Drosophila melanogaster: one gene and its partners. The gene in region 2 interacts genetically with the main gene of each other region. Each region holds a gene or a part of one and is shown on either strand. Other genes may lie near its edges.

Region 1 (9,162 bases), on a different chromosome or scaffold from region 2:
AATTGGCGTGCTCCTCCTGGCTGCCGTGCTCCTGACTTGGCTTTGAGAATCGGCAACTATGCCGCACCACGAACCACACAAACTCCTTGTCCCGGATGTGGGACTTTTGGGCGAGAGCCACAATGGTTTTTAGCAGCGTTAGCTTCATTTTGATCCCTCTTTCGCTGAGGATCAGTTGCTTTAGGCACTCAATGGTGGCTGGAATCCGGTTTTCTATATTCCCTGCACAGGAGTTGAGTAGGTGCGTGAGTATCAGCAGGGACTTCATCCTCTCGCGTTCGCTATTGTTCCGCAGGTGGATCAGCAGGGTGTCCATAATGCGCGTGGAGTAGGGTTGATGACCGGCCAGAAGGTGGAAGCAACGCAGCACCTCGTAGTGACCCTTCACCGTCTGCGGTTTCTCATAGTCCGGATAAACGCAGACCAGGTCGAACAAATGGGTGACCAACACGTCAATTATGCCATCCAAGACTGTGGCATTTAGTGCCAGATTCGTTTTCAACACGGAGCAGAGGAACTGCGTCACGGCATTCCTGTCCACGCTGCGTCGATAGAGCGCCAGGATCTGGGGAACCAATCGGGCGGCCTGATCCTGAATCCGGTCTTTGGGCAGCAGTGGATACATGCTGGACAGGGCCTGCAGTATCTCCACGCAAACCTTTGGCTCCCGGGAGTGCAGCCATTGATTGAAGAGCACATCGTAGGCCACACTGATCTCCGTGGAGCAGTTCTCCTCCTCCTTTTTGCCGCTCTCCTCCAGTAGAGCCTCACTGAATCTACCGATGGCATAGGCATGTGCCTGCTTGATGTGATCCTGGCGTATCCCGACTAGATGCGGCTGACTACGGCTCAATATGGCCTTTATGTGGGGCACAACCCCTGCCGGATTCTCAGTGGCCAGCAGACCGAGGCACTGCATCAGCATAAAGTGAGCCACACCTTCTGTACTTGTTCCCTTCTCCTGGAGCGCCTCCATTACCTGCTCACAACTCTCTGGGCTGCTCCGTCCGATGGCTACCAGGATGCGCTGGGCGGGATTCTGTATGAGTGGCAAATGCTCGGGATTCTTGGTGAGCTCCTGCAGCGCAAGATCAATAAGTTTCTGATTTGCAGCCGGCGGCAGAGGAGTTTCCGCTCCCACCACGCGACGAATGCAGCTGAAATATAGAAAGGTAGGGATTAGAACAGCTTTTAATTGCTGATGTCAAAGGGAAACCTACTCCAACAACATGGCCACTGTTTGATCGGTCATCTTCGGCTGCTGCGATCGATGTTCGCTGAGGATCTCCGCAGCCCGTTCCGGATGGGTCTCCAAGATCTTCACGATCGCCTGCTGCATGGCAATCCGCACCTGCTCCTCCTTGTCCATCAGCCCATCGAAGATGTTGTGGAGAACGCCTGCAAAAGGGCAACAAATGTTTTAAATTTGATTTCTTAAATCAGATCATATGGAATATAATCCAAAATTTAGTTGGCTTGTGTTAAGTCAAAGCTAAGATATCGTTTAAAACAAATGACTAATTTCAGCTAGAGCTAGCAAATAGCAGAACAATGGACTACACTCAGTAACACGAGTAACTAGATCAAAGTCAAGTTAACACTACATAGAGCCGTATTTACATAAGGTGCACAAACTGCAAAGATAGCAGAAGTGGCAAAAACCACATTGATTCACGGATTTAAATGGATGATAGGTTGATTTCGAATTAAATTATATGAGCCATTTTACAACATTGAAAAATGCATACCCCTATTTCATTGAACACAACTGTGGGCACTTTCAGTACTTATATTCTGATAAGAATTCAAATTGTCTGACGCATTCGCATAAATTAAAGAGCTTCACATCATATAAGCATCTATCAATAAAATGAAAAAGGCTAGAAAATGGCAAAAACCAAACGAAATGCTGGAATCAGCTGATTGGGATGGTCAAAAATACACGTCATCCCAGAGATACAAAAGTCCAATTGGACTGGACAAGCGATACTCTAGAGGACTTTTCGCATTGCAATGTTATTTTTGTTCTTATTCCAACAATTAGCTGTAAAACAAAAAAAAACACACACTTACGCATGCAGATGATTAATCAAATCGAATTGAGTGCAATTTGTGGGTGTAATTGTGAAATGTTGTTGTATTGATTTGTCTTGCTCATAAACGTGTTCTAGATGATTTTTTAGGGCTTCACACACTCAACAGGTCCCCATAATACACACGTACATAGATACGAAAATAGAGTTATTTAGCTGCTCTCCTTTCGCTAAAAGGATTCCCCGTTACTTTTGGGCGCTCATGTGTGCGTTGTGCCTAATGCGTAGTTCTATTTTTAGAACAGGACAAAAGACTGCGCTTCGCCTAATCACAAATCCCAATTGGAGTGGGTGGGGTGGACGGGCAAAACGCCCATTTCACGCTAAATCGCTCTCAGCACTTGTGCTTGTGTGTGTGTGCGCTTTCTAATAAAAGATTCCATGGGTCCATCTTTATCTTTATCTTTATCTATGGGATTAGGCAGTGTTCCCTTTGTTTTCATTTTCATTTGCATTTTCGTTTGCTTACCTTCCAGAATCGTTGGCTTATCATTGGGCGCCGCTGTGGCGGTAGATGCATCGGCATTTCCAGTGGCGGCGCTATTTCCAGCAGCTGATTTGTTGTTGGCGGATCCTCCCCCTGTGGCAGCACCACTACCACCGCCGCCAACCCCTCGGCCGTCCATCTTCTTGGTGGAATTGCGCGTTCTCTTCCACTTCTCCAGCTTAACGGGATTTCAGACAGCGATTAACTTTAACGCGCACTTCGCGATCGCGGAAAAACTCGGAAAAACAAGAGATTCACTGCGTTGCGAAATTGTTTGTGTTTAAAACGGGTGGCTGCACTCACATAGGGGAAAAACGGCTGTGGAAATTTTAGTACGTTTTTTATCAACACCATGGACTAGTTGGGCTTCCGAACATGGTGTGTGCCCTCACTGTTCAGTGGTGGCGCAAACCATAGATGACCATAAAAATGAAATTCAAATGTACTGTGTATAAAATAATAGTTATGCATACAGTCTCGTTTTATTATACGGAATTAGCAATTAAGTAAATTTTAAATTTTAAGCTACACAGGCAGTACAGCATACTAATACAATATTAAAGGAAAAAACGCTTTTGAGGTAGTTTTGAAAGTATTTGAGAGCAATTGAAATGCTTAATTTTAATCACTTGATAGCACTTCTGAAATTAAATAGCATAGACATTTGATTTTCTCGCAATTTCTGCCCTCGCAGATAAGCTGACGTTCTTCTCACGCTATTATATTCCCAGCGATAAGAACTATTTCCCTTCGATGTGATAAGTCGGAGGTAAATTTAAAATAAACACTTTTTAAAATCATAAGAACTCTGCGTTGTTATTTTAATTCGATATCAGTATTTCGACCACAAACCAAGGCTGAACCACAAAATATGGCCCAATGATAGTCTCTTATCACGCCTTTCCTTCGCTAAAAAGAACACATGTCATTTGGAATCCTTGTTTTCTTTGCGCTAGCAACAACACACAGTTTTTAATTAACACTTTTTGCGATAATAGCAGATTTGATAAGCATGTTAAGTATCAGTTTTAAAGTAGATTCTCTGATTTTCATCTCTAATATCCAAAATGTATCTATATGAATACAATTTTCCATAAGTGCGTTTTAAATACATGTATGTTAAATTTTAAATAAAATAATAAAAAAAAAAACACAACTTATTTATTTTCTCATGAAAATCTAATCATATCCAGCTCCTAAATATTTTCGAAATTTCCCGGCTGAACAAGAGCGCCGCTCTTAAGTCGTCACGCTCTCAGCTGATTAAAGAGAGCGCGCTTAAATGCGATTCCAATTGGAAGTGGTTGCAGCCGGTGGTGGATGAAAATGTGTCCACCAATGGCGCGCCTCAAATGCCATGTCCACCTGACCAATCAGAATCCGGGGGCGGTGCCAAGTGCAAGGGAAACGCAGGAGCGAGCGAGAGGGAGAGCAACTGTTTATTTGATTAAGCATTTAAATTCTATTATTTTTAGCGAAATTTATTAAAAATTTGATGCAACAGCACTGCGTGGAATGGTGACTTGTCACAATGCACATACTAGGCCATGCATTTACAGAAGAGCAAGAGAGAGAGAGAGAGAGAGAGAGCGAGCAACTTAAGAGACCCAAAACGCCCCGGCCAAAGAGAGTCGTTCTCGTTCCAATTGGCTCGCGAGGCAAGTGGAAAAACGATTGGATTCGACTCAGAGCCGAGCTCAATCGTCTCGCGAAATTCAAGCGGCGCAGTCAAAAGTTAAAAGTCAGTTTCAGTTATGTTTTGGAGTACGACGCGCGAGCATTATTGTTTCCATTGTTAGCGAAGTTTTTAATCGACTGAAAGAAACACAAGAAAATAACACCTCGCTTACGTGTTAACCCTTTTTTTTTGTAACTTGTGCTTAAGTCACTTAAAGAAATACCGAAGAAAGTAAACTAAGTGTGTGTGTAAGTGTTAAACAAAGTAGTAAACAAAAAGCGCGCCAAAATCGGCTAACTTTTAGTTATTAACTCGAATTTCGTCACCAACTAAATTTAAACAAAAGAGCGACACAGTTTCGCCAGAAACTTGCATTCAAACATATTGTTAAACAGTTTTACATTAAACTAAACACAAACCAAAGTGCTATTAAGTGCAGTTAGTAACAAAATAAAAGTGATAAATGGTGACACAAACGAATTAAGGCAATGTTTTTATGACAAAAACTTAAGTTCATATTTTTTAAGGCTTTATTTTGCGACTGTGAAATAATTTGTTTACTTTGTTGCTTGTTCTCAAACAAATAATATACAATAGTAATTGTAAAAGCTTCTTATACATTGTTTGAATAAACAAATAACTGACTCTTTTACAACCATTTATGATTACTTGGGAGATCAGTTGTGAACATTAAATGTTTATATTGTACTATATTGTTTTTACACCGATTCCCAGAAATATCATCAAAGTTAAACTCGAGAAAAGGAGGCCCGTCTGCGAATCGGGAGTCAAACATAGAGTATTACTAATTAGCCGAGTGAAGTGCAAACAATAAAAATATCCAAATCAAACGAAATCAAATTTAATTAAGTTCAGAAATCATCTGGCAAAAGCATGCTCAAAAAAGAGAAAGAAAAAACAACAATAGCAACAAATGCACCGCTAATTCCTGTGACTAATTTATCAAAGTGCGAACTAGCAAAATGTCGATCGTCGTAGTACTCGCAGTTATTTAATATGTATTCAGAAAGGCAAACATATTTTTAATCATTTTTTAAATTTATATATATTGTTTTTTGCAATTATTTCTTTATTTAAACGTACGCCAGTGAACTGTTTCTATATGTACTTTAATTAAATTGCTTAATATGAAACAAATTTGAGATGTTGTCATGGATTGTTTTTAATGAATCGATCGGCATTTTAAGTTTTCAATTAAACACGAATCTTTCTCATATCGTAAGTGCAATTGCAAACAATTGTTAAGTACGCTTTTTTTTTTCTGTGAATTCGTTTAGAGATTAGAGTTTATTGATGAGTGAACAAAAGACACCGCCGGAGCGAAGTGTGATAAGCGCTTGACCTGCGACCCGCACACACTGCAAGAAAAAAAGGGGCAAGCGAGCGGATCAAAGGTCACCGCCGTCGACGAATGCATTTGCATCTCCTGGCGGCAGAGAAGACGCCTCCATCTCCATCTCCAAATCCAACTCCAACTCCATCAGCATCTCCATCTGGGCATACGGGCGCTGCTGGGGAGTCGCAATTGGACTTGGCATCGCAAACGGAATCGCAATTGCAGCTGGGCTTGCCATTGGCTTCCGGATACGGACTCGGACTCGGATTGGGACTGGGCTTGGGATTGGGACTGGGCCAGGAATTGGTGGCGGACCACAGCACCACTGTGGCGCCCGTCAGCGTTGCCGGTCCCGGCCGCCTGGGTCGCAGCATCAACGGCAGCGGCGGCAGCCACCACCATCACCACCTGCACCACCACTACTCACCGTACCACCACGCCCACCCCTACCACCCACCGCATCCGCACGCGCCCCACCACCACCACCACCACCACCCACCGTATCCGTATCCGCCGGCAGGACCACATCCGCCGGCCATGGTCACATCGTCATCCACATCGCCGACGGGCAACGGCTGGAGCAGCTCCACCGGCGACTTCAAGGGCATCACAGCGGTGGCGACGGCCACTGGCGGCGGCGTAGGTGGTGCCACCCAGGGCGCCACTGCATCCACGGGCGCCACAGCCGCTGAGGTTTTGGCCGTTTCGAGTAGTGCCAGTGTTGGCAGCAGCTCGCCCACAGGTGGCGCCAGCAATGGTACAGCCCATAGTGGGCATAGTGGACACACCGGCGGTCACAGCAGTAGTACCGCCAGCAACAACAACAACAACGGTGCCAGCAATAGCAATAGCAACAATAACAACGCCGTTCACCAGGATCTATTGTGGATGGAGCGATTGGTACAGAAGCGACAACAGGAACATCCCGGCGAATTGGGTGAGTTGTTGGTGGGATATTACCAATAACCTAGTAGTAACACAGTCTGCAAAAGGGTTAAGGATTAATAGCTACCTTAATGTCCTTCAAAATCAAAGTGAATATGAAGATATAGTCTAACTGGATTTGTAATTTCCCGTGAACAAAATTGATTGAACAGAGGGATTTAGCTTACTAACTGTAAATAGCAAATTCTTTGCTACCAGATTCCCAATATGATCTATGGTTCTTGATATAATATATCTTATGAATATAAGATTGATAGATAGATATATATATCAAGGCAAGCCTCTGCGGAGACAGCTCTTCCATTCACAAGGTATCAGCATCTTTAGCTCGTGTCGAGGGGATCTGGTGGATGCTTTGCAGGTCTGTTCGATAATCCGATCCCCGAAAGGTGGAGCGCACATTCTTGCCACATCCTTGCACAATGCACTTCTGGGGCTTCCACATCGTGGCAATCACGATCATCGGACGCAGCCTTATCGGATTCCATGGGTATGATGATCGTGATGATGATACCGATGGCGATGATGATGGTGATGCCAGTGAAGATGGGACTGGCATCGCCGTCGGAATATGCGTAAATTGATATCAATAATTGTTATTGATATCAACGCACGAGTCGTTCCCCTTTTTTATTTTGTTAATGCCACCTTTTTTTTTTTTTTCTTATTCCTTGCTGCCCGTTGAACTTTCCTCCCGATTTATCAATGATATCAATGACCCAGAGCGAAAGCTGCTAATGAAATCTCAGCTCATCGCACCGTCAGTCTTGAAATTAGCTGGGGAATCCGCAAACTGGTTATCCTATATGATTTTTTTTTTCACTTCTGAGTCCTTTCATAACTTGTGCTCAATGGATAGCCTTCATATCGAATTGCAACTATCAGGACTTTACACTCTTGTCTTAAAGTAATATTTATATTCCATTCCATTTGAGTTAGTATCGTACCTATGGGATTCAATCAGGATCTGGATGTGCCTAGTCTATTACAATTTATTATTACACAGTTTGGTTTTCAGGGCAGCGCACATTTGATTCCTGACACCTATGTAAAACATGATTTCCAAACCTACAGCGGTGTGACAAATTAAATTTAATGATTATCAGCAATTAGATGTCCATATTTCGGTCTATTTTGCGCGCCAGTCGCGAGTAAATAAATCATTTATTCAGCCAGCCCAGCTCTCCACACTTTGCTCTACTTTCGACACCAGGTCAACAGTCAAACGTCATCTGATAACCGATAACCCCTTCCGGTCCGGTCCGTTCGTTCCGTTCCGTTTGACATCTCCCCGCTCATTAATTAATTATGCACCGCCGGATGGCGAGTCGATGGTCGAAGGACCCAGTATCCAGCATCCTGCATCCAGTGTTCAGTATCCACGATGATTGATATTTATGGACCGACACGAAACTATAAATAATTGAATATTTTTGATGGCCGTGAAAATGTGATTTTAATCAGCGAACCCTTGGCTAATTAAAACCAAACTGATTTATCCTGATTTTTTTTTTTTTTTACCCACTTTCTTCATTTTCCAGTGCGCACGAGCAATCCGTACTTCCTGTGCTCCGCCCTGCCCGCCCATTGGCGCTCCAACAAGACGCTGCCGATGGCCTTCAAGGTCGTCGCTCTGGCGGAAGTGGGCGATGGCACCTATGTCACCATCCGGGCGGGAAACGATGAGAATTGCTGCGCGGAGCTGCGCAACTTCACCACCCAGATGAAGAACGACGTGGCCAAGTTCAATGATCTGCGTTTCGTGGGACGCAGCGGAAGAGGTGAGTTGCAGTGCTGTCCGAACGGTCACTTGGGAATTATAAGCTAAAATGGAGAGAAGAAGTGCAAACGGTAGGCGGTGTGAAAAAGAAAGGAGTTGGTAAACTAACTATCTTCTGTGAATCAGGATCAGATCAGGATAATATATAGTAATTTCTAATAACTGATGAAAATGATCTATATATAACTTATATACTTTATAGCACTTTATATCACCTTTGTGTTTTGGTTGACTATATAACATTTCTGAAAATTAAAGACTTCCTCGAGCACTGCAATCAGCACTTCCTTTGCCAAATGCCGATTATTGCGAGCCCAAAGAATGCTTCCCACAACTTCAAACGAGCGGAAGCTGTAGGTTTATCCTTTCAAACTTTCTTCAAATTACACTGAATGAAAATGATGCGTAATACGTTCAATTATGTATGCATAATTAACTTAATATGGCTTTAATTTCTAAAGACTTTTTTTTATTGAGAGTTACTTCTGTAACGCACACTTCATCATCAAGTATATGATGATAAAACTCTAACAAAATTTGTAACTTGAAGTATGAATTCATAACTTGCTATGTAACTTGCATGTAATATTTGGTTGGCAAATGCATTTTCTTTTTGTGCACCCGAAAATAGGTAATGAATGCATCGGAAGTGCATTGATTGAGTGACAAGCCAGAAGTTCTGGAGTGACTAATGCCGCCTGCGAAAAGGATCAATGGTACAGCAGTCGTCACATTAGGCAGCAAGTTGGCGCTGTCCTCGGGGCAACATGCCACATACAACATGCAATGTGCAACACAGCGTTGTTCCCAGCAGATCCCCGA
Region 2 (7,631 bases):
TCTTTGTTTTATAATATTATACCAACTGCATCGCCTCACCCTATAAAAGTAGTATGCCTTTAGTTTGTTAATTTCATGTTGTAGCTAATTTAATATTTATTCGCACAGACCCACAAAACAGTGTCGTAAATTCCGAATCAAAATTTTTAATCATATCAGAGTACTATTGCAAACAATTTAATCGAACACACGTGGACCATCCAGCAATTGATAAATAATATCATATTCAAAACTCATCCCCAACGGAACTCACACCGATATTAACCTCTTTGTGATTGATTATGAATATCTACTATTACTAATTCACGATTAAACAGACCACAGGACAAAAAGTATTAGATAACCGCGTTCCATTGTGGTTGTAAAATTGATGATTTCATATTGCACTTAGTTTGTAATCCATTTTTGGAAGACCTTCACAGCTCGGACGGACATTGATCGATTGTCGTAGACAAGTGTTTTGTGTGTGTAAACTTTATGGAACTGTGACCTAGCTAATAATATAATAATTGATCACAGCATTCATTGTAATCGGTTCTTTCCAATATTTTAAATAAAGACTTAGCGATATGTATTTATGTAAATGATTTTGGCTTTTTACTGAGTGTTATACAAAATCTTATAGTCTATATATAGATTTTCAGTTATTTGGTTTCGCTATCAAAGGGCAAATTGGACTTTTCGCCACTATATAAAGCGATATTCTGTTTATTGTTTTATTGTTCCCTTATCGAAGCATCCATTAACACTTCCCCCTTTTCTAATGGGCGGCTCTTATCTGGCTTTAGCTTTGTTTGTGAATCGCTTACCGCTACCATTAACTGCTTATTAAGATAGGGGAGCGGGTCACGTGTAAAAGGACACTGATTGCCCAGCAGGAGCATCTAGGAAATCAGGAGCAGCGGCAGACGGTCAATAGAGTCATAAATGTCACCGGGGATACGGTTGGTCCTGTTGTTCCACTATTTATGTGATGACAATTTATGATACCCATCATTGAAGGTCGGCGTCGCACTCGGGATTGGCTCCGATTACCTGCCCGTGTCCTTTCGAGGATCACTGTCCGTTTCTGTAACTGTTTTTATCCCGATCACCTCTCAAGTGTCAATAAATTCCAATAAACAGTCGCAATTGCCTGACACTTTTCGGGGCGCTATCCTTGGCAGCCCAACAGACATTTTGTTGATAGCAAGGACTAGCCGGCCTGGTTAAACATGTATCCTTGTTGGACCTTGAAGTGTGCCGTAAGTTATGGCATGAGTTTTGTGGAACTGAGATCTAAGCAAAACATTTAAATATTTATAACTTTACTTTTGTAACCACTCTTTAAAGAGAAGGAAATTATTCTTTGACCTGGAAAAAAATAAAAGGGCGTACATTTAAATAAAATAATGATCAGCAAAAACATTTAAAGTATGCAATTATAAATTATATTCCAATTCTCCGCTTTCGCTAGGAACATCCATTTCAAGTTCTTGCTAGACATACTGTCTGGATATTTTTGCACATCTGTGACCACAACGAATTTACTTGGAAACAAACAAATCTTTGTATATAATAATTCATAATTCCAGATTATTACATGGTAATTATGCTCAGGACAATGAAGTTAGGTCTGATCCATTTCAGACCAACAATGGGACCAAAAAACAAAGATCCATTGTCAGGCATTGCAATACAAAGAGTGGAATCAACAAGTGTCGGGCGAGAAGAGATTCCCATGGAATTCCTGGTGACTCCGGGACTCTGACTTCTAATCTCATTTTCGCAATTTAGCGCCAACAACTAATCCGCAAAGCGAAAACGATTAATCTGGCAGGGAAAACCCAAAAACACGCAACTGCCAGACGTATCCGAGATTATCATCAGGTGACCTATTGTTGGTCAGAAGAAAAGAAACAAACGGGCATGGATATGGATGGAGTGCGGAGAGAGGTTCCCACTTTCAACCAGAACCGCCCACCAACCGACTACCTATTGTTGCTATTTTGACAGGATCGAGGTCCCAGGTAGCGCAGAAAAATGCTAATTGGAAATTCCAGAACCTCTTTTCGAAGGCGTTGCAGATCTTTAGGTTATCCGCGAACCTTTCTCCCGAAAATATTGCAGCATAATGCCTAATCTGGGCCAGGATTTCGACTAAGCTGCGGTCGCGTGGCACTCTTAACAAAGTGAACCGATCGAGCGATCGATCGATCCATCAGCTATCATCATCATCGTCAAGATCAAACGTCAGGATCCTTTGTCGGCTCGGGACTTTGTTCCTTGACAATTTGGGCGAAGTAACTGGGCCATCTTGCAGTGGCATCATTTGTACTCTTTAGCCATGCTCGGCGCTTCTCGGCCAGTGTTTTCCAATTGTTTTGCCCAGTTTCCTTAGAAATTCAGCGAACTCCTCGAATTGATTTTCCCTCTAATGCTGCGAGTCTGTGGAGTTAATTAGCCTTTCGATGCGGTCACTTGAAAGTGGGCTTGATCCCAAGATGACTGTGGAAACCAGAGCATACGAATGAAAGTATATAATGTGAGGGTGCAACATATTGCACCAGAGTTTCGAAGGACCCATCGAATGGTTTCAGCATGTTAAAGTAGTGTAGTTTTATTATCGGAAAAGTAACTCTTCAGTAAAGGCGTTAATATAGCACATTTCAAATCCCTTAATATGAAAATAATAATAAATAATAATAATGTGATACTTGCTTTGATTTCTTCATGCTTTTTTGAATTTCGAACTTCTCGACGTCCTGTAATTTGGCCATTGAAAGCAGGAGAAAGCCACTATTAATACACCCACTTAAATTTGACCCAATAAAGTAAGTACAACCGCCTAAAATCGAAAGTCACAAACCGCACAAGCACAATTGTTGCTCTTTGTTCTGTCCGAAAAATGGGGTTTGCATCCAACCAGTCGAGCACTCCACTCACTAGACCACAGACATGCAACCAAGATGATCCATGGCGATCTTCGATGGAGGCACACATTGTGGAAAATATTCCCATATGACAAGAGTCTTTTGTGCGTTCGCATTTTGACCTTGGCTAAATTTTGTTTGAATATAAAAAGTCAATTCCAGGGCAAGTAACAAAAGAGGTATGATTACAGACGGTAGCCAAATGACAGGTCAAACAAAAGGAGTCGACCTGTAGCTGATACAGTAAATACCTGGGAGAAAGAGGGAGAGAGTTGCAGCCAGAGACAATTAAACGTCTTGACCGCAAGCCAATTTAGGGCACGGGCTGTGCTGCTGATCCTCAAGAGGTTGGCAATCGGGTACCTGAGCGGATCGGATCAGCTTGAGGCAGCGAATCAGGTAACAGGACATATGTAGTGAACCAATCACGTGAGAGCTGAATCCTCGGCAGGCAGCTATATAAAGACCCATCCTCAAGCAGCCACTTCAGTTGTCCCTTGAGCCTGCAAACGTAAACATGTTGACCAACAACGAGCTAATGGAGCAGTTCTACTTCCCCGACGAAGCCCCAGCGATTCCCGAGTTCCTGAGCAACGACACCTTCCAGCAGTTGGAGCAGCTCATGTACCAGCAGGAGTTCAGCACCAGCGACAGCCAGTCGGATGGCGCCAACAGTTGCTCCTTGGAGATGTATTACGATACGCCGTCTGTCCTGGAATTGGAGCACATGCTGAATGCCCAGGAGCAGCAGCAGCACCACCTTCAAGCGAATCCCTTGGGCAAGAATCAGGGCAGAAGTCCAAGGTACTGGAACAAGCAGCAGAGGAGCAAGCCATACGACAAGCTGTCCACTTCCATGTCATCATCTACATCCTCCGCCTCTTCGAGCAGTTCATCGTCCGCGGGATTCGGTGGCGAAGTCCTCAAAAAACGGCGACTGGCCGCCAATGCTCGGGAACGGAGGCGGATGAACAGCCTGAACGATGCCTTCGACAAGTTGAGAGATGTGGTTCCATCACTCGGCCACGATCGGCGACTCTCCAAATACGAAACTCTGCAAATGGCGCAAGCATACATCGGGGATCTGGTCACGTTGCTGTCCAGAGACTACTAGCCAGTGTGGGCGATCCTTTATCCTTTCTTCCTCAAATGGAAGTTCCTTTTGCGGGCTGTGTTGCAGCAACACCTTCATATCCTAGTGGAAATCTTATAAAGGCTGTTAGTTTTACGTTTATTATCATAGTTGTACACAATTCAAGCAATAGTTTTATAATAAAAATGAAAATACAAATCAATTATATTGTTTTAAATTCATATCGTATGAAATGGTGGAGTTGGAATGAAAATAATGTTGTGCGAACTTGGAAATTTATATTTTGTTTGAATTGTATCTTTGCATTTTTTGCTGGTACATATACAGAATTTAGAGCAGATATTTTTAGAGAGAAAAAGGGAAAAATCCAATAAATATTTAAAAAAAAGATAGGAAGTTTATAGGTACTGAAATGTAAATAACTTATCAGACTTATTAATTTACATAAATATATGTAAAAACTCCATTTATCAATCCAACTGATGCCTCCACATTTGTTTTTATTCGCCACGCTTTCATCTCAGCCCGAAAAAGGGTATCCTTGTTATCCTTGAAAGATGAGAGCGGCATGGCAAGCTAGGCAGTGCGCCACGCCCACGAACCAAAACGAAAGGTCATAACATCAGTAACAAACCGAGAATTAATGAGTTCCGCTTCCGACTCAAAGTGATGGAACTCCAAAACAGAAGTGATTAAATGCCGCAAACGTCAACAGGTAAACACACTGAGGATAAACACAGTCGCTACCTTAGATCCTTCGAAGATTAGACGAAAATTGATTTAAACATAGTCATTTGTAAGTGCTATGGGAACTGTGGGTGGACCGAGCGAGTATCTATCTGAAACGGATGAAGTCGAGGATCCAGAAAGACAAAAGACGTATCGTACACAACAGTTTTCAATTGCAAATATCACATTGATGTTTGTATTTATAAAACTAAATACAGATTGTTAACTTAGCTTACTATAACTATGGTGTATAGCTTGAGTCCACAGAAATCTGAGAAATTGCTCTTCAATAAGTCTGGAATAGAATGCACAACGAAATAAGTAAGATAGTATATAGTAAACTAACTAGGTGGTCAATAAATGGTTTTCAAATGGGCAGGATGTTAATGTAATTGTCGAGAACTATATATTTTTCTTGAAATAAGTCAGATCATTGTAACATTTTTAGTGATACTTTGATTTCAACGATCGATGGATGTGAATGCCACCAATAGAAATATTATAGCCCGTTTTCATAAAATTAGCAAAACTTGAGATGGCTTAAACTGGATCGTTGGTAATCCAAAAATATTTATTCAATCGATATATACTAAATTTAAAAATAACGAAGATCGGAAAACATAGTTCTAAAAATGCCATTACAACGATCTGAACGATTGCTGAAAAGTGTTTTTTATTACCATTATATTTCGATTTTCATTATAAAGTTGTTAAAATGAAATTCAAATCGATATATATTTAAAAAGTTAATATCATTGACCATAAGTAAAGAGTATAGAACTTTTGAATTACGTTAACAATTAATTTTTGGACTACTTTTCGTTATAACTATTTACAATTACTAGTGTCTATGTTTAGCACTAGGAACTAAAGGCGAAGGCATTAACTAATCATACACTATATGCTTAATCTATGTCAACACACAAACATAAGTTAAGTCGAGGGTGTAAGTGTAAAGTCTTTGCACGTGTTGTCCTAGATTCCCCTTGATGAAGGCTGCTGACGTTGGCTGATTGAAAACAATTTGCGTTATCATATTTAGTCATCATTTAATAATTTACATAATAAAATAGCTCAACGGATTTCGTGAATAATTTTATTTAACTTTCACTTCAATTGCTGATGGCTTGTTGTTTTTCATGTTATATATTTTTTAAAATCTCATGAATTTACATCAATAACAACCATGGCTAGTTAATATTATACACAGCAATGTACAATATCTTCTGCCAACGTCATCTGCCCACCGCCCAAAGGGAAACCAAGAGAAGTGTGTGGGGTTAATGAGTTATCTGTTCTATGCAATACACTTTTTTGTTAAATTAAATCAAAGTGAGATAAGTGAAATCTAAAACTAGGTTCTCTCTTTTTGTAGATCTATAAAATACGTAATTACATCATCCATGCTTTACCACGCATACGCCCGCGGCCTCGCATGGGACCACCAGGTCCGCCACCCCGAGGAAAAAATGGTCGCGGCCCTGGTCCGGGTCCATCAAATCCCGGTCCGGGCATCCGTTGGTAAGGCGGTCTAAAAGGACCTGGTCCGGGTCCATTCCATCCCCGGCCTCGTCCACGCCCGCGCTGCATTCCATCGGGACCGTTCATCGGTGGACCGGGGAAGCGCTGAAAGGGCGGGAAAGGCTGTCCATATGGTGGTCGCGGAGGTGGCGGTGCTCCACCTCCTCCCATTTGCATGCGATTCATTTGGTTCCAGGGCTGCTGCTGTTGATGCTGCTGATGTTGGTGATGTTGTTGAAGCTCTTGCTGCTGATTTTGCTGCTGTTCATGGTGTTGCTGCTGATCCTCTTCATCGGGCAAAGGCGGCCCCATAAAACTGTTGTTCGCGTCCCACGGATTAATAAAGTCAGGCGGAGTTTCCAGCAAAACGGGACGCGATGGCGTCAATGCACCATTGGCGTCGATCTCGGCATCTCCATTATCCTCCTTGGGCTCTAAAAGATCATAGTTTAAAAGTTATAAGCATTACCCTGGGGAGATTGCTTTTTACTTACCTCTTAGTGACTCATCAATATCGTCATCCGACATATCCATATCAATTACCATATCAGCAGGATCATAACGAGTAGCTCCATCTACGCGATCCGATTCAGATGACGAGCCTGATGACGAGAAGGATTGAACTTGTTTAATTTGTGATATATATACTTATTTTGCTTGTACGTACTAGCATTGGATTTAAGCGGCGAACAGGTCTTGCTTTTTGCATAGTTGTTGCCAGGAGGGGCCATGATACCTTCATCGTTTGGACTCGGGACAATGCGGTAATCCACATCACCGCCGGTAAAGTCCTGAAAAGAAGACTGTCACATATTCATAATATATTAAACTAAAACTATTAAAAATGCTTCATGAAGTCGGAATTTTTGGCAATTTTTTGTAAGAAAAATAAGATGACTCTAAAGGTTACCTTTTCTGCTCCGCCAGGTGATCCAGTTAGTGATATCAAATTTCTGTGATCAATGTCCACCAACTGCCTGGACTTGTCCTTGCTCAGACCCAACTTTGCGCCAAACTCGAACGCCGGAGGAAGCTGCAAGGTGCGATGGTCTACGTCCTCGGCGCCCAGCGCTGCAGGATTCGTATGTAGAAGCTCGTTATATTCGATCGGAGCTGCCGTGGAGCTAGCCTTTCTGTCAAAGTGCGGCGGCGAATTGGGAGTTGATTGATTCGCATACGAAGAAGAACTTGCTCCACTGCTATTAAGGCTAGAGTCCAGCGGCGTCCACGACATACTCATATTCCACGTGCTGTTGAAATCATCTGCCGATCCACTGGAGGGTCCAAGCGACGGTGGCAGTGGTGGCGGTGGCATGGGTGCAGGCGTGTACTGGTCGGAAGGACCACCACTGCTTCCTCCGTTTCCGTTATCACCG
Region 3 (7,453 bases), on a different chromosome or scaffold from region 2:
TGATCCCAAAGTCGAAGTGCCCAAACTCTGGAGTACCCATCCCGCTGGAGAACCGAGCTCCAGTCCAGTTGAAGTTATCCCAATCGAAAGTTGAAAAAACCCATTTTTCGTTCAAGGTTGAAGTTGCAGCTCCAGGCGATTACTTCGTTCAAGCTTGAGCCCAACGGTCCAGGAAGTTCCATTCGATGGCATAGGGTTCGCAGGCTTTGGGTTGCACCGATGTCCAGAAGAAGGTGCCGGCATTGGTGCGGGCAAAATGCACTGGTACATAGTAATCCTCCTGGTCGATGGTGTGCAGCTCCCCGGATCCGTTCTCATTGTAAACGATGACGGCATCTTCCTTGGCGCACTGGCGGATTTCCTCGATGAGGCGATGCTCCAGATGCTCGTTGGCCATGTTGTCCATATCGTTGCTGAGCCACTCGAACTCGGCCTCCTTCTCCTCGGAGGCGATGTAGGAGCTCCTCTTGGGCTGCTCCTTCTTCATGTTGAAGAATTGACCGAGCAGCGGCTTCAGCAGATTCTTCAGGCGACGCGAAGGCGAGACTTTCGATTTGTACATGGTGTTGAGGGTCTTCTGCTTGCTGATGGCCGACATTAGATGAATTTCGTTCAGATATTTTCTGGTGGTGAGTGCGTAGAATGCGTGCTGGGATGTTCTCGCTTCGACGTTCGGATGCTGTGTGATGCTGTCACTAAGATTAGAGGCGCTATTTATACTTTCTTGGGAGACAGGAGCGATGCTACAGCATCTCAGCCAATCACGTCGCTCGGAAGGCAGGCAGGTGCAAGGATCCGAAATTTCACACGTTAGTCAGTGGCAGCAGGTAGGTCCTGCAGGACCTGAGATTCGAGATCTTGTGCGAAGCGTGGGAATCTCGGGCCCATTCCTCCTTTCAAGACAATTATCCCCGGGTTCCAAACGAATCCTTGGCGTGGGAACAGCACATTGCCGGCCTTCTCTCGGAGACCCAGTTATTGTTTTGGATTTCGACTGGGTTTGTTTTGCCAGTTCATCAGAAATATGTCGATCCTGTAACCGAAAACCAGCTACAATCTAAGCCAAATTTACACAAATCGTGCACTTTCATTCTTATGTTTTTCGGTTCGGTTGATTAGGGATGGCATCGCAGAAAGTCCTTTGAGGCACGATCTTGAGAATTCTCACGTTCAGTTGGGGAGCTCCTCGTATTTTGGTTACTTGGGCAGCGGGCTTCCCAAATATTTTCGTGTCACGACAGAGGGTTTCATTTTTGAACATCTCTAGTCCTCACTTTTTTGGTTCAGACCCCTCAATTAATTGTAGAATGGGGGTTCATTTTTTGTGAATGTATCGTATTATAACTCATTTATTGTGGGATGTGGTGATTGCTCGCCTTACATTTATATTTACAGCCTGTGAGAATTTGTAACCCGTGTTTAAATGGTTGAAAAGATCCTAAAGAAATATAAAACTGCAGATGAGGTCTGTTTAGATGTTTGGGCCCTATTGATATCAAATTGTGTTTGTAGCAATCACTAATATAAATTTACTTGAGGTTTCATTTTTTCTATTACTTAGGGCCACAAAAGAGCTGAAATCCTCAGAGACAAATATTTTGTTTTGAAGAAGTATGATGTCTATGGTTTGTTAAGTAAGTGGTCTTAGAATCTTTAAATAAATAATAATAATGAATATTAATTAATTAGTCATATATATTTGCATATATGATACATATCATAAAATATTGTTGTTTTTAATAAAGCGACGACAACACATTTTTTGCGACTATCTTATAAACGAATTTATTGTAATGTTTAGTAATGGTTTAAATATTGTTATTTGATTTACCCCAACTCAAACAAAATCCTACACATAACAGAGTTTGAATCACAAAAATAAAAAATAAGAGTTTAATAAAATTAAATTCAACGCCCAAATCTATAAATTATTTTAATATTTATGTAATTATCTTGATTTCAAACACAAATATTTATTTAGATTTATTAATATCAATTAAACTTTTGTTTCTTTAATAAAATTATCATCATCATATCATCATATCATTATCTTTGTATTATATCATTGCCCATTTAAAACTCCAACGGGTCCTGTAACCTGTAACATTATCCCGAACTGTACTTGGTTGTATGCTTTCAATAAGGAATCTGCATCGACTTTATGTAAAACTATTTACATAACGCACACACGATCTTATGTACGAGAATGCCCCCTTTGAAATGCCATAAAGATCGAACCGAACCGTGCGGCCTTTTCGCATTTATTATTGAGATAGGATTGGCTTTGTTTCTGCTCGTAGCGTAGGGCCCCTGCCTTTTTTGTTTATCATCCGAGGGACTGGGACCGGGACCCTCTACCTGTTCCGATGCAATTCGAGATTTATTTTGTCCAGGGCCCAACCCTAAGAAGGAGCGCTGAAAACGAAAATCAGAAATCGCCTGGAGGTAACAGGTTTCCCCGGCTCACTCGGCTTGATTTTTCGAGTTTTTCGAATCCACAACAGGTTTCCAACAAAAGGGAACAGGTAAAGGTTTTGTTTTTCGAGTTAAGGTTCTTAGGGTCTCGCTGTTCCGTGAATGTGGAAGGGTCAGGGGTACGGGATAAGAACGGTTTTTGGCTTACAGATTCTTGGAAAAACCTTCGAGGAAATTACAATGACAAAGGGAAAGTTCGAATAAGAAATCAGAAATGCAAACAAGTTTCGGTATTAATATTATGTATTTATTCATACTCTCTTAAACATAGATGGAAGACAATGATTAAAGCTGGATATTTGTGCATTTCATTTTAAAATCTCCACTTGCACAGTGTGGAGAGTTAAAGCTGTTGCGGATGATGTTTAGAGACCGAATCCGTTGGAGTCTTTAAAGCTGATTGGAAAGTGGTATTTTTTTTCGGATTTCCCATTTTCCTCGATTACAGTTGGACGAGCTCGGCTTCCAATTGCTCGTTCTGGGAGTTCTGCAGCTCCTCCTCGGAAGTGGGCAGTGGGAGCTCCTTCGGCATGGAGTGGTTCTTCAGTTGCTGGTGGCCCGATGCCTTGAAGATTTTGCAGGCCACCTTGAAGATCTTCTTCATGGCCTTGGCGGGTGTGTAGGTCTTCTTCTGGCAGACAGGAGTGGTGGTGTAGATGGTGGTGTTCATCAGAGTTTCGTAGGCCATTTTTGCTAGTTAGTAGTTTGCTTGCTTGGTCGACTGATCTTGGCTGTTCAACGTTGCGATTGAATGTGATGTCCTATTCGGAATTGCGCACCGCTTAAATACCCGATCCTTGCGAAAGCAACCCCTAAGTCAACCAATCAGGACGAGTCCTAGCGCGCAGGTGTTTCTCGGTCTCTCAAAATATGAGAGTCACGCATTCCTCAACTCTCTGCAGGTAGTTCGGGATCGTTTCGGGTCCCTTTTTTGAGCGACCCTTGCACGTGTGCGAAGTAAGGCCACAATTTTCGTAGGCCCTAAATAAATCTCTCCCTCGATTTCGTTTTCGTCGTGGGAGAGTATAATTTCAGTCGAATGCCAATAGGAGGACGATGCCGGCAAGCATAACAAATAGCCAAAAAATGAAAGAAATGAAAAAATAAACGATCATCCCTTTTCCATCGGGTTCGGGTTAGTAATTTGAGTGGTTTGTTTGCGGAGGACTCGGCTCGAATTTATGCCTTGATTAGTTTTTGGCTATTAATTGTTAATAGGCTGACAGTGGAGGATAAAAGTGACAGACCCTCGTTAAACACATGTTGTCGGCAAACGAGAAATATTTACACGTCAACATTTCATTTTTGATCAGTACAGGTAGACTGTGGTCCTTTCGAGTACAGTGAACATTCGCTCGAAGGTGTGCAGGGATTTTCAAGATTCCACACTCACTGCAGCGTAGTTGCTCTGGCAGGCTTCACTGTCCTCACACTTGTTCTTCGGGGTTGTTTTGGTCCTTGGCAAAATTTGAATTTGGAGCGTAATGAAACTCGAATTTCTTCGTTTATTGCATGAAAGGTTTCTTTATCTTTCCCTTAAATCTGCTATAGGGATTTAAGATATTTTTGGATTTCTTGTTGCATGGAACCACCACTTGGAAATATGGTTTTCTGTGACAGGTTTCACTGTCCCCACACTTGTGTGTTGGTTCGGGCTCTCCAAGAAAATTAAAATTTCGTCTCTTGTTGAAATTCGAATTTCGTCTCCTATTGAAATACTTGGCACTTGTAATTTGGGATTCATTCGTATTCCAATCCAGTTGCATTAGATGGAGTGGGATAGGATCCTGGCCCATCCACTTGGGGGGTGACCAACCAGGAACCTAGCGTGCTTGTGGCTCGCTTAACTATTCCACAGGCATAATTCCCCATAAGCACTTGAAGATTTTATTTTGGTGGCGTTTCAAGTTTAGTTGTTAGTGTCAGGTTTCCTGAAATTCAAGCGCCAGAATGAAGCCTGCATAATTAGCTTGTGGCTATCGTGAAACAAAATATTGTGGATCGAGTGTTGTAATATGACTTATGTTGCATTTTTCTTATAAAAAAAAATTATTTACACTGAAAATACATGTATTCTTTAATACATAATTCTTTATCTTTATTTTATTTCAGTTCGGTGGCTTGTTAGCCGTATATACATACATATTATATATGATATTATTGTGATAAATATTTATCATTGACTCATTTAAAGAATTTTGAGAATTCACGCGTTTGTAGCACATTCAAAATTTTTAAAAATTATTTTATTCATTTTAGACTGGGTTATTTGATATGGTTTTCTTATAATTAGTTCTTGAAGAATTCTTTGTAGTATTTTAATATTTGTAGATACAAACAGTAATTTTTTTTAACCATAATATTTTTTTTTTATTTTACTTTGCTTTTATTTATTGAATCTTCTTGTATAAGAACTAACAATAAGTTTAAAAATCTTAACTATAACAAGTATTTTTTGAACAGTTGTATTATTTTTCCAACTGTTCTATGTTTAAACGGCCCTAATAATTTATTCGCTGGGTTGGTAGGTCCTTTCGCCGGAGACGGGAACGGCTGCTGAGCTGGATTAGACCTCGCGCTAGGTGGTTGGGGTGCGTGTGAAGCGTGTGAACCATAATATGATATGAAAAGATATGATATTTACTATACCAATATTTTCGAAATATAAATAGAATAAATAAATAAATACATATATACTACAAAGGTATATATTAGGTATATTTGAAACAAAAATCATATTTTAACGATAACAGATGCAGAAATTGTATGAAAGACAAAAAATAATATTTGGTGAATATTATATTAGCCTGTGGTCAGGCTAAATATAAATGTAAATAAAATTCTTTATTGTTCTTACGGAAGTATTTCCAACTGCCTACCAGCAGCATTTTTGGATTCAAATGGTCTCCAAGCAGGAATGAATGCAGTCACTAATTGGAATGTGTTCACCAGCATAGCGAGTCCAATTTAAAATCCATTCTTCAAATCAGAATTGTACAGAGTAGCCGAATTTAACTATACTTACAATGGTCATTCAATTTGGGATTTTTCTTTTCCAACCTTATTCATATTATTTCATATCAGTTTTCAGAATAAAGAGACATTAGAATTTCCTTTTTTCGATTTATTTATTTCTTATATGATATTAGTGTTTATAGCTAAAGTTTTACATGGAAGACAATGATTCTTAGCCTAATTCTTATACGAAGACCCTAACAAACAAACATGGAAGACAATGATTCGGCTAAGACTAACTTAAGGCTAATAAGACACGATAAATCACAATGAGTTAACGATAGTAACGCTTGATTGTGATAATTGAATATCAATTAGAGTTGTGTTTCCCTTGGGACGCGAGCCCAAAGAATCCAATCTATGCCTAATATCACCCTGAGATTACGAACATGCGAAGCTGAACCCGCATCCATCCGACGACCAATGGACGGAGACACTTGCACTTAAAGCTGCCAATTGGAGTTTTTCCCGGTGCATCGAGAAGTGGAACTGTGCATCCTGGCGATGTTTAGGCCTGAACCCAACGGTCGAACTGCTGGCGCAACTGCTGTTCGTGGTGCTGGCGAGCTCCCTCGGCTGAGGTCCAGAAGAAGGTGCCGCTGGTGGTGCGGGCGAAGTGGACCGGGATGAAGGTCTGCTCCGGATGGACGGGCACGATGCTCTGTTGCTGACCCTGCTGCACGATCATGGCCACGTTGGTGGGGCACTGGCGGAGATCGGTGTACAGTCGCTGCTCCAGCTCCTCGTTGGCCATGTTATCGCAACTGGCCGCCGGATCTTTGCGCATGTCCTCCAGCGAGGCGTTGACTGCATTTTGGTTCTGGATCTCGGCCAGAGTCTTCCGGAGTAGCTGCTTCTTCTTCACCAGTCGCAGAAGGGGTTTGACCAGTTTCCTCAGACTCCGCATGGCCATCGTGTGCTGATCTGATTTCGGCTCCATCACCTTGCTGCTCTCAAACTTGTATTCCCGTGTGATGAACGACATTGTGTTGAGGATTGTTGAGATTTATAATAAAACTTGGGATCTTAGTTGGTTGCACTCGGTTGAGAGTTGGTAGTATTCTGGTTTTCCTGCTGCACGACCGACTCCTTATATACGATTTGCTCTCTTTGGTTTCTCTCGGCGGGGGAGAATTCTCGCACAGAGCGGCGGTTCTCTCGATCGATGGACCCAGCCAATGGGAAGGCAGACTGCCTGCAGGTGGTTGCACAAACAGTGAGAGCGGGAGACAAAAGAGAGCCAAGAGAAAGCGGTCTCGGAATCAGGAGCATGTCCTTACCCTTGAGAAAGCAGGGTATGATGAATTTTTGAGTCTGTGCATAAAAAATAGATTTTACGAAAAATAAGGTTAATATGTTTTTATTGTGTGTATATCTTTTAAGTGTATTTTTTCTAAAAAAAATTATTTATAATAGTAATATTGAAAGGGGCCATATAAGGTTGAATTTAATTGAATTGAATTCATTGAATTTATAATAACTATAGTAATAAGATCATAAACTTGATGAAAAATATCAATATTTAAGGACTCTATTAAAATTAAACTTAAAAGACTAGCAAGAATAAAATGTATCCTAAAATATTTGGTATACAACTAAATTAAAAACTATTTAAAATTAAATAATTAAGATCGGCACAGCCTTACAAAAAAAGTTTTCCTTAACAGCACACTGCTAAATTAAGGTATGTAGGAAGTACATCGGTAAAATTACAATAAATACAAAGAGATCGTTGTATATTTAACAATTATTTAGTATTTTACTAATGGTATTTATTTTTTGGAACATAGCATACCATACTAAGTCATTTACTTTAAAATTTCATATGTTTCCCACGTGATTCAAATGCTGGGTATTACCCACTCGAGTTGCTCATTCACTGCAGGTTTTTAACGGATTTTTTGACAGTCGCATAGATCTCGGTCGGTTCTCGATCTTTCGCCCCCTCTGAGAGTACCATGCC
Region 4 (8,155 bases), on a different chromosome or scaffold from region 2:
AAATTTGAATTGATCACTTGGCAGGGATCTGGGATAGGGTTTCGTGGGACCAGGATCCTCGCTTATAACAATACCAATCACAATTTGTCGATCGGTTATGATGCACTTCCGATTCGGAAACGAGGGTAGAGCCAACAAACAAGGATCCAATATGCACCATGAAACTAATGTTTGATAGCCACATTAATATGCCAACGAAAACTTGGGCTCCCTTACTATGCGCTTTGAAATCGAATCTTGTTTTTCAGATCTGAGAAATCTGCTTTCAAAACACAAACTCGTATGTTTCTAATTAGAGTTCAATTTGTCAGTGCTTCATTTGTTGAATCGATTTGGTTCTAAGAAATTTGTTTTCGATATAAGTTAAATTTTCAAGATAGCATGCAGTACATGGCACCTACATGGACATGGTTAATCGACCTGCATATCAACTATCTACTATAAAATATGTGTAGCGAATTTGTCTTGTTTCGATGAAGGATAAAAGGATCACTGCTGGCGCCAGTCAGTTGCGAAGATCACCTCAGATACTGATCGGCAGTAATGTTGGCAAAACAACACCACCGCGCTCGAATTGCCGCATCAAAGTCGGCGACAAAAATCGCTCTGACATGGTCCGATCCAATCTGGGCAGATACGCTCATAAGGAGCACGGAGCTGATGTGCCATCCCTCAGCCGGATGATAACCATCAGTAGGCAATCTATGACAAAGCGCCGGCACAACAGGAGGTGAGGGCGTGCCCAAACAATGACACAGTGGGCGCTGCAAGGACTCGACTCCGACTACTCTGTGGACGTGTGTATAATCTAGTTTTAATTTTCATGGGAATTAACCCATGGCCGTCACAATTTTCCGGCCACTTCGTACAATGTGCAATTTATGCGATATTTGTTTAAGCAATTTTGATCAGCTCCCAGCGATGATAGCCAGTTCCAACTGAATCCCGTCCAATGTTTGACTCCACTTGACTTTTTATCCCCGTCGAGGAGCATATGTACATATGATATTTTCCATTTTTCCACCGCCCCAATCGGTGGTCAATATTTGCAGAGCCAAGTCAAACAACGGTCTCACATAACAAGGGGAGCTCTTTCCTCCTCCTCGACTTGGTCCTTCTGCATTTGCATATTTAATTTGCCTTTAATGAATTTTCAATTTGACAATTGCCGAAATGCCACACAAGAGGCCAGGATTCGATTTGGGGCCAGGCCACCCACGTGCACGGAACTGGGGGAATGGGAACTACCCCAGTTGCGGAGATGGCATGCCATGCCGATTGCATGTCCATGTCCATGTCCGTGTCCAGACTCCTGCTCCTTTCGCTTTTCGCTCTCGTCTGCAAAATGGGACAGAGTGTTAAATGCTAATAAAATAAGTAACATACAAATTTTTCAATTTCAGCTAAAAAAAATAACTGGGCCGAAGACGTTTAAGTCGAGCAGGAGCTGGTGGACTGGGATTCGGTCTGGATATATATAAATATGGATCTGGACAACACTTTCACGGCCCAGAGCGACTTGCTAATGGGAGTCGTTGACGTGAGCCTACTTTCCTCTTGTTGGCATCTCTTGCGCCTACACGTTCCTCATGCCGAAGAGAGTCCTGGAAAGAGTATACTGAATTAGGCCGGCTAGTCAGCAATTTGGTTACTTAACAAAATGTAGAAAATAACTAAATTAATTTAGTTACTGCGTCAATAGTTTAATGGCCTAAGTAACTAATACATGATTTGAGAGTTTAGTAAAAAACCCAATATACAATTATAACATTCACCATATTATATTACACTCAAGAATATACAGGTTGGTTTTTCTAGGATAATATAAGAATATGATTTGGATATGACTACAAGAGTGTTTCATGTTTCACCCAAGCAGATTCATACCCATTCAATTGGCTTTGTCATGCGCTTTCTGGAAGCTGCTCCACATCAGTTGCATTCCCATCGATGGCCAAGTTGCATTTATGCATATTGACATGAAAGAAGTGGCCCGTTACCAGCGTATTGATGCCAATGAGCTGGAGCTGAGGTATTGGAGGTACTGGTACTCATAAGGTATGTGGGTCCGATGTGAGGGATCAGCCACTCGATAACTGACAGGCACGCAAGGCGCCCGATGCCGACCATTGGCGAAAAAAGAACTCGACTTGACTTGGAATGACCCTTTTTGCCCCCTCGACTGGCAGCACGTGCATATTGCGATGCGGCAATGAAAATGTAAATTTCCCAATCGATATGCAGCGGATGCCTTGACATCGGCTAATGCCGATAAGCGAAAAACTTTACAGCGGAGATGCAATCCGAGGGATACGATCTGCACAGGTACATATTGCAGGTGTAACTACTGTCTGTTGCGGCAAGTGGCTCGTAAATTGCATGGAAGGACATTCACGAGGGACGTTCAGGACATTCGAGGTCTCTCAGGGGTGGACAAAAGGTCAAACATGCCTGTGTGCGTCCAATAAATTGGTGGTGCCGCTCTTGGTGCGGTTTGTTGTGTGACATTTTTATCTAATTGACAGCGTTTTTATTGCCCGGCAAAAAGATCAGATCCTTTGGGGCGTGCTACTAGTTGTGCGACTGGGTGGCCGCGGAACTTCAAAGATGCCCGAACACTCCCCCGCAAGTGGTTGATGTAGAATTCGTTGCATTATGATTTCCAGCGAATCATTAAGGATTAAGGGGCGTAGCGAAGGGATCTAAGGACCACCGTGGACGCTTCGTTTTGCTGTGTCATCCTGGGATCTACAACTAAATTCCCTGCTCACGATCGAACACACGGCCGTATTAATTGCAAGGCGCTAAAATGTTAACCCAGCTCTTAGTTACTGCCTGCCACGCTTATTAGGCACGACGAGGGCTAAGGTGAAGGTCAGTCCTGGCACTCGGTCAAGCGTGTCCTTGAAGGGCCGGCGCTATCATCTACCTTCTTCATGGTACCGGCAACAAGCGTATCAATTGGAAAATTTGCCAAGTTGTAATAAACAAGATTTTTCATTGCGATATTCCGCCCCCGACTTTGGGTAAGCATGTCGAATGACCCGGCGGCGGTGGATTTGTAAGGATTTCCCTAGCCGTGATCAGGTAGATCGAACCCACTTGCAACCGATGCAGATTAGATAAACTCATAAGACCCGCTCTGCCATTTGGTGCTGACAAATCGCCAAGGGATTTTTGCAAATTTCGCTTCGCTTTGCGGTCGACTTTAATCCCGTTTAGGGATTCAAATCGATTGTTTGTCCAAGTTCTGTTTACATTTCCGCCCATATTCCTGTTCCGGTTGTGCCGGCCATCCTATAATCATCTTGTTAGCGGCTTTAGATGCCCAGATAGTCGGTTTTCTAGCGCCATTTTAAGCTCGCAACGAACTGAGGTATAACCGGGCTCTCTGAGACCGCTGCAACTCACCACCAACTGCCATTGGTCGTGCCACTCGGGCGGCACGTGCTGCCTTCTGTGGCAACTCGTTTACCTGCCCCCCTACCTGCCTTTCAGGCCCTTCTGACCGTCGTGGTGGATTTGTGAGTATAAATAGGGCCGAAAGGACGAGAGACCAGTCAGAAACCCGCCAGCACTCGCAGCGTTCGTATCGTTTCATCCAGCAACATAACACCACCATACAGCAGCAGCAACATGTCGTCCAGTGAGATCTATCGCTACTACTACAAGACCTCCGAGGACTTGCAGGGCTTCAAGACAGCCGCCGCCGAGCCGTACTTCAATCCCATGGCAGCCTACAATCCCGGCGTGACCCACTACCAGTTCAATGGCAACACCCTGGCCAGCAGCAGCAACTACTTGTCGGCCAATGGCTTCATCAGCTTCGAGCAGGCCAGTTCCGATGGCTGGATCTCCTCCTCGCCGGCTAGCCACCGATCTGAGAGTCCCGAGTATGTGGATCTCAATACCATGTACAATGGAGGCTGCAACAACATGGCCCAGAACCAACAATACGGAATGATTATGGAGCAGTCTGTTGTTTCCACAGCGCCTGCAATTCCAGTGGCCTCTCCTCCGGCAGTGGAGGTCATGGGCTCCTCCAACGTGGGCACTTGCAAAACGATTCCAGCCTCAGCAGGTCCGAAACCGAAGCGTAGCTATACCAAGAAGAACCAGCCAAGCACCACCGCCACCTCCACACCGACTGCAGCTGCGGAGTCATCTGCCTCAGTGAATCTCTACACGGAGGAGTTCCAGAACTTTGACTTTGACAACTCCGCCTTGTTCGATGACAGCGTCGAGGATGACGAGGACCTCATGCTCTTCAGTGGCGGTGAGGACTTCGATGGCAATGATGGATCCTTTGACTTGGCCGATGGTGAGAACCAAGATGCCGCTGCCGGAGGCTCTGGAAAGAAGAGGCGTGGCAAGCAGATCACACCCGTCGTGAAGAGGAAGCGTCGCCTGGCCGCCAATGCACGTGAGCGTCGTCGGATGCAGAACCTCAACCAGGCCTTCGATCGTCTCCGCCAGTACCTTCCCTGTCTGGGAAACGATCGCCAGCTGTCCAAACACGAGACCCTCCAAATGGCCCAGACCTACATATCCGCTCTCGGGGATCTGCTGCGCTGAATTCCCGGATCCCGATCCCAGTCCCAAGTACTATTCTCAGTTATTGTTGGAGCTTGCCAAATGTTGTAGCTACTTTGTATATATTGCCTGGAGCCCAGTAGTGAATTACCGCTTAAGTATTATGCTGTTTATTGTTTAGTTAATTAGCCTAAATGGAAGACAATGATTAAGACTAAGGAAGACAAAATAAAAGCACCATTAATAATTTAAAACATATGTTCGTTTTTTGTTAACGGGGACTTTCTAACAGTTTTAGTAGCTATGCAACAATTCCTAGATGCAAAATGATAAATACAAAAATTCCAAGCCATCCAAATCCTTTCATCTCTGAACAATTCTGTTTCCCCAATCCTCGATATCCACACTTATCGGCGGGGCATCAATTCTCACACAGTGAATTGGACTTTATTATATGGGGGAAGGTGATCGATTTGGCGCTTCGCGATCAATTTGTAGACAGTTCGACAAAATTAGGGCCCCTCTTAATCGGGTTGGCCAAAACAAATACGCAGCGGACGATAATTACACGGCACGGCGCGCCGGACTGTAGCTGCCAAATTAAGTTAAGTGTTGGGCTGATCTGCTTTCAGCAGTCGCAGGTCGCATGCAATGTCCGTATGTCCGCTTGTCCGTATGTCCATTTGTCCGTCGCTGTCCCTGGAACCTCTGCAACTTCATATCCCAGTGGAAGTCCCAGTCGAGCCCCGAAAATCAAGCGCCACTCACAAATCGTTTAATACGAAGTTCGATCCCCGATCGTTGTTGGCGGATAAACTCAGCGGCTTAAGACTTTAAGCCGAAACTGTGCACTCAGCAAAACAAGAAGGTGTTGAAGAAGTTTTGTTCAATAAGTTAATGTAATAAATAATATTATTTAAGGTAATATAATAAAATGTATATAGTACAAGATAGGATCAAAGCAAACCTTTATAGTTAGTTCTACACAGAATTCATTCCCTTTAAAATATAATTAAATATATTATTTAGTGATATTAGATGGATGATATTTTTGGATCTGTTGAATAAATAAATCCTATGACGATTTCTGGCAGTGCAACATATCATTCAGCTTAAAACGGAGCAGAGATCCCCGGCCCAGTCAGTCAGTCATTCAGTCAGTCAGTCAATCATTCGTAAGATTCGAAGCCAATTTGTTGATAGCGACAGCAACGCCCGAGTGCCGGCGATTCGATCGACTCCCGCATGGGAATTGGAGCGCTCGGTGGCGGCTAGCGAGGGTGGGGGCGTGGCAGCGACCGGATTTCGTGGGCTGTTACTGTTTGTTTTGCAAAATCATTTTCGGGCGTCGCCGCAAAAGCTGCACGGATTTCGGGGCACATAATCAAAAGGAAATTCACATAATTAGTTAAGCGGCAGCGCGGCATCGACAGGGCTTCGTTAAATTGTTAATGACTTAATTTAGTGATCGCGAGGTGCGGGCGTCTCCCCAGGCGTCTTTTCCAGCGGCTGAGGCAATTATATTTGTATAGGCGCGAATGCGAGGCATAAAGGCGATATCCTGCCGATATCCCTGGAGTGTCGCTCTTGTTAGCGACAATTTACGGCTTTGAACGCTTCCGCACAAAGCGCTGCCGTCAATTTGTCAATTACACAAATTGTTCGGCTCCGTTCGGTTCCCCCATCTCAAAAGCCACGCACAACAAAAGGGTGCGATCCGTCGTGATGCGGGAAGAGAGGCCTTCCTGCCAATATCGGTCGTTATTCCCGAGCAGCTACTCCAGCTACCACCTGCATGCAGCTGCACAGCACAGCAGAGATTCGGAGCCTCGAATTCAGATCCAGCTTCCAAAATGCAACTGCCTGCCAATACAATTAGTTAGAATTCATGAATGGCAACTCGACCCCAGTCGAGTTCTGGCATTCTGACTTACTGGCTCACTGCGTTTCGGCATTCGGCTTTCAGCTTTCGGCCTTTGGCTTTTGGCAGTGCCGCCGACACAGCAGCAACATCACGCCGGAAAACAGGAGGAGCAGTAGTGGCAGAAGTGGCAGAAGTGGCAGAAGTGGCAGAAGCGGCAGCCACTTGCATGTCTTTGTCAATTTATAGACAGCTTGCCTGAGCATTATTAACACGTATTATTACGGGTATGCATTCGATGTCCGTTGTGGGGCTGCATATTTTGTGGGTTTTTCTGGCCGTTCGAACGGGGGGAAACGAATGCCCCCGAAATTTGTCATGTCGATAATTGGCGAGCTTTATTTTGAGGTTTTTGAGGTTGCTTATATTTTTTGTGTCCGACGCTTTGGTTAGTTAGTGCATCTGTATCTGTAAATGTATGTACATCTGCGTTAAGTAACTTAATGAGCTTTAACACCATCAATTTGTCACTTCTTGTTAGTGTCGCCATGGGGCAGTATCTAAATGGGTTATTGTACCGATCGACTTGCATCTTGTTAAGTGGTAAGGTTTTAAGGCTCGTTATGTGCAGACTATATTGGTCTTAGCTGAAGTTCAAGGACTTAAGCAGTTTGCTCAACAAATTGAAAGAATTTTACAGTGGAGCAAGTTTTTATAGATTAAAACTACCTGAAAATAAAGCGAAATAAACACTTAGGAAACAGGTAGTTCTGACAATCCATTGTGCCCCGTAAGATTCAATTACCCCAATGCACATTTTTTAATTGCGGTTTTGGTATGTTTTGAAATAATTTATATGCTATTTCTATGAATGTTTTTTTGTTATCTCGCTCAATAGAATTTCTCATGCCTTTTTGGGCACAATTTCCCTCATTTTCGAAAGATCTAACCACAAACATTACTTTGTATCTTTTTTTGTTTATTTCTCAAGTGCAGTTTCCGTTTCCGCCGATTTGTTTTGGCATTGTTGTGTGAACATTTTGCGCTGATCCTTTAATTGTTGCGCAACCTTCGCTGGCGAAATTGCAGGAACCCAGGTCCGCAGCCCACGGTCCCAAGGATTCGGTGATTAATGCCGGACCTTTCTCCCAAGTCGCGTGTGCAGCGAAATTAGTGGGATTTCGTATTGTGTGTGTGGGCATCGGCATCCGATCGGTTTAAGCCAAACTCAAAGTCCGGTCCAAATGAATGCAATTATTAAGTCATAAAACGGACAACGTAAAATGCCAAAGTCTGTAATTAGCGACACCAAATCACGGCAGCCGCGCCCCCTTTTCTTAATACATCCTTTCTCAGCCCATTATCGGGCATTGTGTGCGGTCCGCGAGGAAAGGAGAGAGATTACCTGGCATAGGAAGAGGCAGAGTCCTCTGGAGGTCACCGTTTGTTTTGGGAAGTCCTGGCCCACAAGGTTAGCGGCAATTAGTCAAACGATTCGCAACGCATCTACCATCAATCAACGTAGGGCCATGGGCTCCGGTTACCGATCCTGATCATCATTATCCTCGTCCTCCTCATCGGGAGCAGTAACAAACTTAACCGTTACCCATTTGACAAATAATTCGCACGGCCAACGGCCCAAAAATCTCTGGGTAACTCAATTAGCCACACAGACGATCGGCACGGCACACTTGACTGACTTTCGGTTTCCAAACCCAAGAGTCCAGATTCAGGACCCACCAAGTTGGTGGGCATCCCAAA

The links.
Region 1: of amos (region 2) and lz, changing one suppresses a phenotype caused by changing the other (phenotypic suppression), as found in Drosophila melanogaster (2 studies listed by BioGRID).
Region 3: of amos (region 2) and Brd, changing one enhances a phenotype caused by changing the other (phenotypic enhancement), as found in Drosophila melanogaster (one study listed by BioGRID).
Region 4: of amos (region 2) and ato, changing one suppresses a phenotype caused by changing the other (phenotypic suppression), as found in Drosophila melanogaster (2 studies listed by BioGRID).

Annotation. Positions count from the first base shown.
Region 1 is NC_004354.4:9,280,231-9,289,392, forward strand, and holds the start of lz (lozenge), read left to right. Parts: upstream 1-4,418; 5' UTR 4,419-4,506; intron 4,507-5,556; 5' UTR 5,557-5,690; coding exon 5,691-6,552; intron 6,553-8,101; coding exon 8,102-8,341; intron 8,342-9,162. Other genes in the region: c11.1, read right to left, coding at 1-1,157, 1,221-1,398, 2,563-2,719. UniProt on the Drosophila melanogaster protein: Involved in prepatterning photoreceptor precursors in the developing eye; in the larval eye disk it defines a subset of cells as an equipotential group that is competent to respond to the sevenless developmental signal and another subset that confer proper photoreceptor identity by positively regulating the homeo box gene Bar.
Region 2 is NT_033779.5:18,592,705-18,600,335, reverse strand, and holds amos (absent MD neurons and olfactory sensilla), read left to right. Parts: upstream 1-3,414; 5' UTR 3,415-3,429; coding exon 3,430-4,026; 3' UTR 4,027-4,200; downstream 4,201-7,631. Other genes in the region: CG15160 (uncharacterized protein), read right to left, coding at 4,962-5,029, 6,147-6,689, 6,750-6,857, 6,923-7,046, 7,166-7,631. UniProt on the Drosophila melanogaster protein: Transcription factor involved in early neurogenesis; sensillum basiconica formation and maybe sensillum trichodea development. Promotes multiple dendritic (MD) neuron formation. Required for olfactory sensilla; regulated by lozenge (lz).
Region 3 is NT_037436.4:14,968,449-14,975,901, reverse strand, and holds Brd (bearded), read right to left. Parts: upstream 3,236-7,453; 5' UTR 3,164-3,235; coding exon 2,918-3,163; 3' UTR 2,704-2,917; downstream 1-2,703. Other genes in the region: ocho, read right to left, coding at 149-598; Tom (twin of m4), read right to left, coding at 5,999-6,475.
Region 4 is NT_033777.3:8,274,490-8,282,644, forward strand, and holds ato (atonal), read left to right. Parts: upstream 1-3,562; 5' UTR 3,563-3,636; coding exon 3,637-4,575; 3' UTR 4,576-4,785; downstream 4,786-8,155. UniProt on the Drosophila melanogaster protein: Developmental protein involved in neurogenesis. Required for the formation of chordotonal organs and photoreceptors. Seems to bind to E boxes. Specifically required for the photoreceptor R8 selection.